Linked DNA regions of Drosophila melanogaster. Changing the gene in region 2 together with the main gene of any one other region gives a genetic interaction. Each region holds a gene or a part of one and is shown on either strand. Other genes may lie near its edges.

Evidence for each region. A genetic interaction does not mean that the proteins touch.
Region 1: of nopo (region 2) and Cad99C, changing one suppresses a phenotype caused by changing the other (phenotypic suppression), as found in Drosophila melanogaster (one study listed by BioGRID).

What each region holds. Positions count from the first base shown.
Region 1 is NT_033777.3:29,839,835-29,844,660, reverse strand, and holds the start of Cad99C (cadherin 99C), read right to left. Parts: upstream 3,005-4,826; 5' UTR 2,871-3,004; intron 1,937-2,870; exon of another isoform or gene 1,788-1,936; intron 1-1,787. UniProt on the Drosophila melanogaster protein: Cadherin that functions in epithelial morphogenesis and the intestine epithelial immune response. Essential for female fertility. Regulates the length and organization of apical microvilli in developing follicle cells and salivary glands.
Region 2 is NT_033778.4:18,178,801-18,183,048, reverse strand, and holds nopo (no poles), read right to left. Parts: upstream 2,433-4,248; 5' UTR 2,328-2,432; coding exon 2,212-2,327; intron 2,153-2,211; coding exon 1,937-2,152; intron 1,879-1,936; coding exon 1,525-1,878; intron 1,465-1,524; coding exon 1,407-1,464; intron 1,352-1,406; coding exon 1,232-1,351; intron 1,176-1,231; coding exon 972-1,175; intron 910-971; coding exon 670-909; 3' UTR 530-669; downstream 1-529. Other genes in the region: CG5721 (uncharacterized protein), read left to right, coding at 1-508; CG5726 (uncharacterized protein), read left to right, coding at 3,217-3,578.

The DNA of each region.
Region 1 (4,826 bases), on a different chromosome or scaffold from region 2:
GGTTAACCGAAACTCATAAAATAGGGGAATAAAGTGCGCGCTCTAATGAACAAAGCGAATTATTGAATTTCAACTATTGGCTGACAATTAAAATCCAAGCTGATGGATCTCTTATCCTTAGCCGCCACTGACAACTATTGTCTTCGATGGCCAATTGCAATTCGATTTACGCAATTAGCCAAATAAACCAATCAAAATACCCATGATTTCCCAACGATTTATTTAATTTCGCCAAAGTGTGCTGCAATCGCGAGTGGAATCAAACTTGTCTGCAAACGCAACTGCTGCTGAAATTATCTCCGAAATCATAAAAGCCCCGATCGCCCATTGCGTAACTTAAGTGCGAGATATCACATGGTATTGATATGGGGGCTTAAATGCTCCGTCGTGCCGTTCCTGCTTCCATTTGCGAGGAAATCGAGAAAATCGGGAAAATCGCGAAAAGCGCTGCAAGTCCTCCGCTTTCACTGGACGGTACACAAAATGCCATTTTCCATTTCCCCCGCATAAACAAAGGCGCGAAGCTGGAGGAGATCGGAGAAGGAGCAGGAGGAGCAGGAGCAGCCAGAGGAGGAGTTCGGCGGTGGCCACCACAGAAAGTCAGTTGCTGATTATGTTCAACCGGAAACTTATAGAAAAAGCCGAATGTGCCAAACTGGTTTGCAAAATAAACGAAAGCCGAGGTATCGCTTTGAATGCCTGTGTACTGTGTGTGTTGTGTGTGTTGTGTGTGTTGTGTGTGTTGTGTGCTGCTGGGTGCAGATTCGATATGCGGCAAACCTGTTGCTTATTGATGCTGTTTTTGCCAACATTTTCTAGTTTTGAATGTGGTACAATACGTAGCGAACTTAAATCTCAAATCTGCTGGAATGCGAACGATGGTTGCCACACAAATCTTAAATAAACAAGAAAGGAACGCCAGCATTTGGGCACCGAATGGCGGCATACCCTGGTCCACCTGGCCACTCGGCTCCCCTGGATGATCACTCGGATCACTTGGATCACCTGGATACATACATTCATGTATACACCATCGTTCTGTCAGCTCCAACTGCGATTGTTATGCTAATTCGCTGAGTGTTTTATTGTATTTTAATTTTATTGGACAGAGGACGCGCTCTTGGCCATACAAAGTATTTCTCCTCACGGATCCGTGAGATGTTTCATAATATATATCGAATTCTATCAGCATATAAAGTATCTCAATCTATGCCATTCATTTTGGCTGTCCATATATTTATGACTCCTGTGGGAGTAAATATATGATCGTCTTCAAAATGGCCATTTGTCGAGTTTAATGACTCAAAGTGCTTTAACATTCTAATCGTTCTAATGAACTCGACAAGTATCTTAGAGCCAATTTGCTGAGAATCATTTTTCCTGATGATTAATTTTAATGATTCGCCTTTTTATCGAGAACACGTCTAACGAAACTTAAGCAACTGCTGAGTAACATAAACATTCTACCATTATGATTGTCTTAATTGGCCAAAATAAGTTGAGTTTAGAATAATTAAAAACAAATCTTTGAATTTAGATGATGGCCAAAGACATTGAACTGCAAATTCTTGGGTGACAATAAAATTAATCGACCTGACTTTCCGCTGAAGAAAAAACGGTTAGGTGATTATGTTTTCTGCTTTATAAATGGCTTCTAGCCATTTAGCCAAATGAAGATTAATCTCCGCCGCCCGGAGAAAAGAACATTATTTCATCATTTTGCTTCTCCCCGCCTTTGGATGCTGAATAATTTAATAATAATAATACTAATAATACTCCGCACTTACCGTTTGGTCTAAAGATTAAATATTAAAGCAGCTCAAAGTATTTCAGCTGAGTATCCAACGTGAAAAATGGAGTCACACGCCGTTAACAAAGGTTATTCTTGGTCCTCAATTACATTTCGATTTACTATATTATTCAATAGATGTTGTATCTGCGCATTAAAAAACAGGGTTAAACTCGATTAAAAACACTCGCGACACAAATTTGAAGGTGTTGTAATACTTATTTTATGTATTTCTCTGTCATAAAATTCATATTGAATCCGAAGTTGATCATTTCGAAGTTGATGATCACCGGATCACCGGCTTGGAAGTGAGTTTTGCCGCACTGAAGTGAATTTTAATTACTGTTTGGAGGTTGCCCTCTTGGATTAATTATAAGCCATAATGTTTCGCGAAAAGCTGGCGAACAAAGCGGCGCGTGGGAGTTTGGTAGCATGTAGTAAAAGTAGCATGGCAAGTCGATGACTATCTACGTATGCCTGTACAGTGAACACGACTGTGTAAGTTTCTTACACAAATCTCGACATACGTGACCTCATTTGCCGTTTTTTTTTTGTTTTTTTTGGCTGTTTTATTGCTTGTTTCTTGGTTCTTGGCAAATGCCGCAGAAATCCCGGTCGATAAATGCGATTTGCTTAATACGGCGATCACGTTCACATTCCACATTAGTGTTCTATCCTTTGATATTCGGCAAAACGATGATGGTTTCGTTTGTTTTCTGTTTTCACTCCACTGTGAGTTGTGTTGGGTAAACAAAAAAACTGAAAAATTGGCAAGAGAAAGTCTTGCTCTCGGGGGTTAAAGTGGTGTGTACAAAGGTATGATTTTTAGATTTAATGATGGCGTGAAGGCTTTGTTTGCCTCTCGGGGCTTCTTTGTTATTTAAACGGAGCGCTATTTCGAGATATCTGCGTGGTATGCCCTTTTCAGGCTTCTATGGCTACAGCTTTAGGTTGCCTTGGATCCACCGGACACACCTCACACATCCACACATCACACGTCGCCACAAACGGACCATTCTGAACTTTACACATTTTCTTGAGAGATAACTCTTAAAAAATTAGCTCTTGGGCATATTCATACCAGCTCGAAAACCGGTATCGCGCCAGCCACCTTATAGCAATAGCGCTGCGTTGGGGCACAAGCTCATACTCGTCGTGCTACACTGCGCGAAAGTACGTGGTACGTGGTGTCGGCTCGGCGGTTGGATCGGTACTGTTTCGCTTTACCTGTCTCGCGCAGCAGCGGCAACAAGTGGGCGCTACCCGATCCAAGGTGGAACGTATTGGAATTGAGCTGGCATTCGCTCGCTTTGCGGTAAAACTGGTTTTTCGGGGGTTACTCGTTTGCCAGCTGATGGATACCACACCATACTCAAACACACACACACACACACACACACACATGCGAAAGGCTTCGGCTGTGGAGCACAGGTACTGCGATCCACGATCTGCAGGTGCATGTACATACACAGCTATGTACATATGTATATGTGTATGCTGCGCGGACAGAGAATCTCGAGCGGCTAACAGCGTCTGTTAAGTCAAAGGTAAATATGTAAGAGACCACCATGTTGCATTTTCATAGGAGTTGGAGCCGTGGATCGGGCTTAGAGTTAGCCAGCCAGGCCAGGAACCAGTTTTGGGGCTTCGGCTCGGCTTGTCGCTCGCTTTGTGTTTGCTTTTCTGTTTCAGCTGCACTGCAGCCGTTGCTGTGTAAGTTTTTATTAAAATGTTTTAGTCGATGTTGCCGCGATTTTGGCCGCTCACTCCACTCCACTGCAATCCACTGCAATCCACTGCAATGCAATGCAATCCGAGCTGCGATCCGGGGCATGAATGAAGTTCACCAAAGGGGCAGACAGCATTTTTGTACCTGTCAGGCGGGCAGGGAGTCGTCGCATATGCATATTCCGTTGCCATTGTACTGGGACAATGAGACAGTTGCACCCGGCTGGCTGGCAATCCGCGAAATTGGCATTGCCATCATGGGTAGGTGTTTCCATCGAACACCACCATCGAATACCACCATTTCCATTTCCAGCCGGATGCTGCCAGAACAATTGAGCCAATATCGTTATATTGGCATTGAAAGCTGCTCAGATCGATGGGATCAGCCAAATATGATAATTTGCGCAGATCTTGTTTCTCGAAATGTCAAAGCACCTAATTATAGCAAACATAGCATATTCATATGGCACACAAACTGTACGGTAAGATTAAGCCATGTGCTAAATGGCTATTAGCGGAGTATCTTCATGGTGCTAAACGCATGGGAGTCTGCCATCTTCATCACAACTGGCTGGAGGAGAAAGTGCAAGGGTTTTCAGCAGATGTACGTCATTAGCTCGTTTTACTGTTTGCTAACAAGCCAGTTGGCTGTTAGCTCCTCACCTGGCCAAATCCGCATCCCACTGGGTTGGGATTTAATTAAGGCTTAGCTTCTTTCGTTATTATAAAGAGGCAGTTTCTTGCTACATTTATTGGGGGTTCTTGGATTACCATAATGTCTGTGCTCTTCCGGCTTGGTCATCACTTTTACGATTCGAATGGCCCATTTTCGCGATAATTTGCCGATCGGCTTACATATGTCAAGTTCGAAAAAACAAAGTGCCAACTGTTTGAATTCGCTACTCTAACAGGAAGTTTTTGGATTATGAACAAGTTGGTTAGGAGGAGCTTGTAAGGTGTATTTCATTTTAGCCATTTATGCTGACATTTAACAAAAGTGTAGTTCAGTGACCCAAAGTTACACGCTGCTACTGGAGTTGTAGCCAAGACAGATTTGCTTGTGATTCTGCAAAATGTTTTTGGTAGTAGCAAGCTATATGCTGATATGCTCCATGAGTACCGGATATGAAGGTATCAAGCGAAATGTGTCAGCCAAAACTGTAAGGTTTCGCATTGACCATGCGCAAAAGCTCGAATTGCTGGTTGAGCCAGTTTAAAATCATTTTTGCCTTCCTGAGAATTTTCGATTGCACAAACGACAGGTGCAGCATAGGCAAAATAAATTGTGGTGCATAGCAAATATCGTTTC
Region 2 (4,248 bases):
GAGTTCGAATTTGGATGAGGTGCGTCTAAATAGAGAGGCCTTAAAGTTGCTACGTGCCCTGGCTGGCCAAGACTCCGTGAAGTCACATATAGTACAGCAGGGCGTGGCTCCTATAATAAAGCAATTGCTAGAGACGCACCAGTCCAATGAAAACATCGTTGCCGCCGCTTTGGCCTGCGTGACTACTCTGACACTCCGAGTGCAGGAACACAGTGCCGCCTTTTTCGATACCGGCATCGCCGAAGTAATCGTGGAGGCTCTTCGCGCCCATCCCAAACACAAGATAGTCCAGCGAAACGGAGCGTGGGCCATCCGCAATATGGTGTCACGGTCGCGGAACCAGTGTGAAACCTGGATCTCCTTCGGCGTTGAGGATCTACTAAATATGGCAATGAAGGAGCACCCCAGTGTGGAGCAGGACATCAAGGCGGCGTTGCGCGACCTCGGCTGTAGTGTCCACTTGCGCGAGGAATGGACGGGCACGGCGGAGAAAAAAATTGCCGCCTAATCGCACACACATATGCCTTTTGTATTTTTATATATTTACTGCTAAATTATTACTATTGCTTAATTCATGCATTGGCTAACTAACAAAATCGGCAATCCTCAATACCAATCGCGTGCTAATACCCAACTGGGGCAGTCTCTTATGATCACATGGCTGTGGACTTATTTGCCCAGGTTAAAGTTGCGCAGCGAGCCGGCTTTAAGACGCTGGTTGACATTCCGGGAAAGGGCGGTCGAGGATCTGATTGTGGAAAGACCCTCTTCCTCGGCGCGCTGCGCAAAGGGGTCAACCTTCTCAGAACCGCCCATTCCATTGTAGACAAAATTTGAGCCCGTCGTGGCCGTCAACGCAGAACTACTTGAACTTCCCAGCAGCAGTCTTGGCTTCTTGAAGATTGAATACTGGGGGAATATACGGAATTTTTAAATGGTTAAGTGGAATTCGGCAAAATTATTGCGTTTACCTTTTCACTGAGATCACTGCTGGTTTTCCGTATGGTTCCGCTGGTCATAGACACACCGCCACCGACTCCCTTGATGGGCGATATTTTAGACTTGGCCAGCCCAATGTTACCCTTAGTATTAAGAAGATGCGCCAACCCGACGCTGCTGGATTTAATGTTGAGATATGGGGAGGTGGATTCTTCGATGCGCTTAATATTCTCCTTCTGTAGGGCAGCAAAATATTAGTAGCTTATATTTTCGTTTATTCGTGTCTACTCACAACTGTAGGGGAAATAGTGGTACGCCTTTCCTCCCTTTTAAGGGCCAAAATGTTGCTGTTCAGACCACAAGAGGCATTTGGTGAGTCCAAGTAAGCGGTCTTGTTCTCAAAAGCTTGTAGCTGAAAAGATAATAGTATGTTTAATCGAAATTGTGTTAAAGAAGGCTCAGCAAACCTTCTCCTGCGCCTGGTAAAGGTCGCTCTCCAGGTGTGAAACACGCTCTTCCAGCTTGCTGCAATCGAATGAGCACATATCAATTATAAAAACCACGTTTGGAATGTTGTGAGCATACCGCTTTAGTTCGATCTCCTTTCGCAGATCATTCTGCACCACCTTCACTACATTCCTGAGCTCCGTCTTTTTGCTCTCGCATTGTCGCAACTCCCTCTTGAGAGTGGACACCCAGTTGGCTAGGACATGTGGATCAGCCTCGTTCTTGAGCAAGCGGTCGGCATCCGCCGAGCCAGCCGCCAGAATAGCCGATATGCCTTCCATACTCTGGATCTGTGATTTCAATGTTTTGTTTTCCTTGCGCAACCCATCAACGACATGGGCATCACTCTTGAGGACGCCAATTTGCTCGACATAGCTGCTGATGAGAAAATCCTTCTTTTGCACCTTCTGCTCCAAACCGGCTATGGTTTTGCTGCAAATGAGAAATGCATCAGTCTGGTACTTAAGGCAATGTGTATACAAAAGCATACAGGCACTTCTTTTGTGTTTCCTTCAGATCCCGAATCTGCTGTTCATCCTTGTTGCGCTCTTTTTCGACCATTTTCATGGACAACATCGCATTGTCCAGCTGCTCCTGCAGTGAACCAACATCGATGTGGCTCACATCCAAGTTGGCCAGATTGAAATAGACCCTAAATATGTTGCGGGTAGTGCACTTATTCCGGCACTGAGGACAGGTCTTTGATCTGCGAAAGATATTTGATTTTATTGTCGGGAATCAGAAATATCCTTATGCGTTGTTTACCGATCGAGCCATTGATTTAGACAGTTGTGGTGGAACATATGACCACAAACTGTGGCAAAAACCTCGTCGGCCTGGCCAAACAATTCGGCGCATATCACGCAGTTTAAGTTCAACATTTTTGGCACAAATAACTACATAAAAATAGTTATTACAAAAGAACAACAAATAAACGCACGCCGAACAGTTTGCGCGCCCAACGAAACACAGCTGACTGATGGCGATTTTACGATGCTCCAATGAGCGGAATTCACCACACCAGTATTTGTCAAGAATCGATTGTAGACAATAACTGTTAGCTGATAGATATTTCCACGACAAACTAATTGCTAACTAACTTGGCTTAAGTCGAAACAACAAATAATGTTTACAAATACGCTTACTCAGCCACTGAAACTAAAATTCATCCTAAATTTTAGAAAGATATGTATGTGTGGATACTTTTTAAACCCTACTTCTTAAGATATACTGTGGATATAAATTTCATATTTTATTCTGCCAATCCATCTTAAATCCAGCTACTTATGCTCCGTACTTTAGCCCCATGGTGGTCTTATCGATAACAGCGGGAGCACTGTGGCGCTATTTACGAAAGCACACCGTGTGCTTTCGATATCGCGACAATGCTATCTAGAGGTGGAGAAACATCGATGTTTTAAAGAACACAACACATCGATGTTTTTCCACCTCTTTTAAAAGTCGTCAAATAGCAATAATAAATAGGAATAGTTATAAATTTGTGCATTTAATTTCGTTCGTTATTTGCGTTTCAATCGACCGTGGGTCCCAGTGAGCTAACTGCACCTGCACCCAAAGCGGAAGCTGAGCGAAAAGGTGTTTCATTTGGCGTGCGCATTTCGACACCTTTGTCAACGCTGATTCTTATTTGGTGGACCGACGACTCACACACACGCGCGTACCAATATAACAGACACTGAAGTGTGTGTGGAAGGGACAGACAAACAACCGTGCGATAACAACAACAAACGGCAGTGATCGCGGCGAGAAATGGAAATGGCCAACAACATGGTCAGCAGCAGCAACAGTGGCGGCGGTGGCAGCAGCAACACCACCTCCTACGGCAACAACAGCTACAACAACAGTGCGGTGGACAGTGGTCACAGTTCGCACAGTGGTGTCGGTAGCGGGGGCGGTGGTGAGGGAACGGGAGCGCGCCTCCGGGATGTTTGTACCATCCTGAACACTGGCCCCGCCGCCTATCAAAATCAAACAGGTGGCTATGCCTACGACCACATCATCGCCCTGATGAGGAACCTTGATCTGCAGGACGATGGCATTGTGCTGAACTCCAAGATCAAGACCATCGAAACGGACTTCTGCAACATAGTGCGCGACGAGTCTATGCTTTGGTATGTGTGCCGATCTCTACCGTTTGGTTGGTTCGCTCATTGATGATTAATCATATCATAAGTAGTGTGTTTATTTGCCACCTCTTTTCGCATATACATATGGATGTATGTAAATACCCGGCGTAGGTACAGTGCGGTGCGATAGCATATGGGCAAGGCGAGCTCCCAAGCCCATCAAAGCCAGCCATGTGATAACAAGACTTAATGCATGCAGTACATATCTGCCTGGCGAAGACCGATCCTTATTGTAATATTTATGACATTCCATTACAAGTAGCATGAGTAATTCGTTAAATTTGGGAGCTTGTGGCGTTCGCCCATAGGTTACAGCATTCTATAAGTTATTCCAATAATGAAATGCTTGAAATGCAGAAACCGAATTACTAATCAAGTTCAAACGTTAATTTGTTTTTACGCGTTCAAGAACCCTTGGGTTCTTAAAGTGCAACTTTGTAAACTTTTCTTCTTACTTCATTATTTTTAGGTTCGAAAAAGTTTTTGCGACCTTCTACATATACATTTCAATTTTATTAAATGTCTAAAAATCGATTTATAAATCTGAAAAGCACTGTATTTGTGTATATGTGTTCGTGCACGAGTTCGTTGTTTGCGACCAGGTTGCTCGAACGTCAGCGTGTCTTGAAAATTTACAACTTTTCATACAAATAAA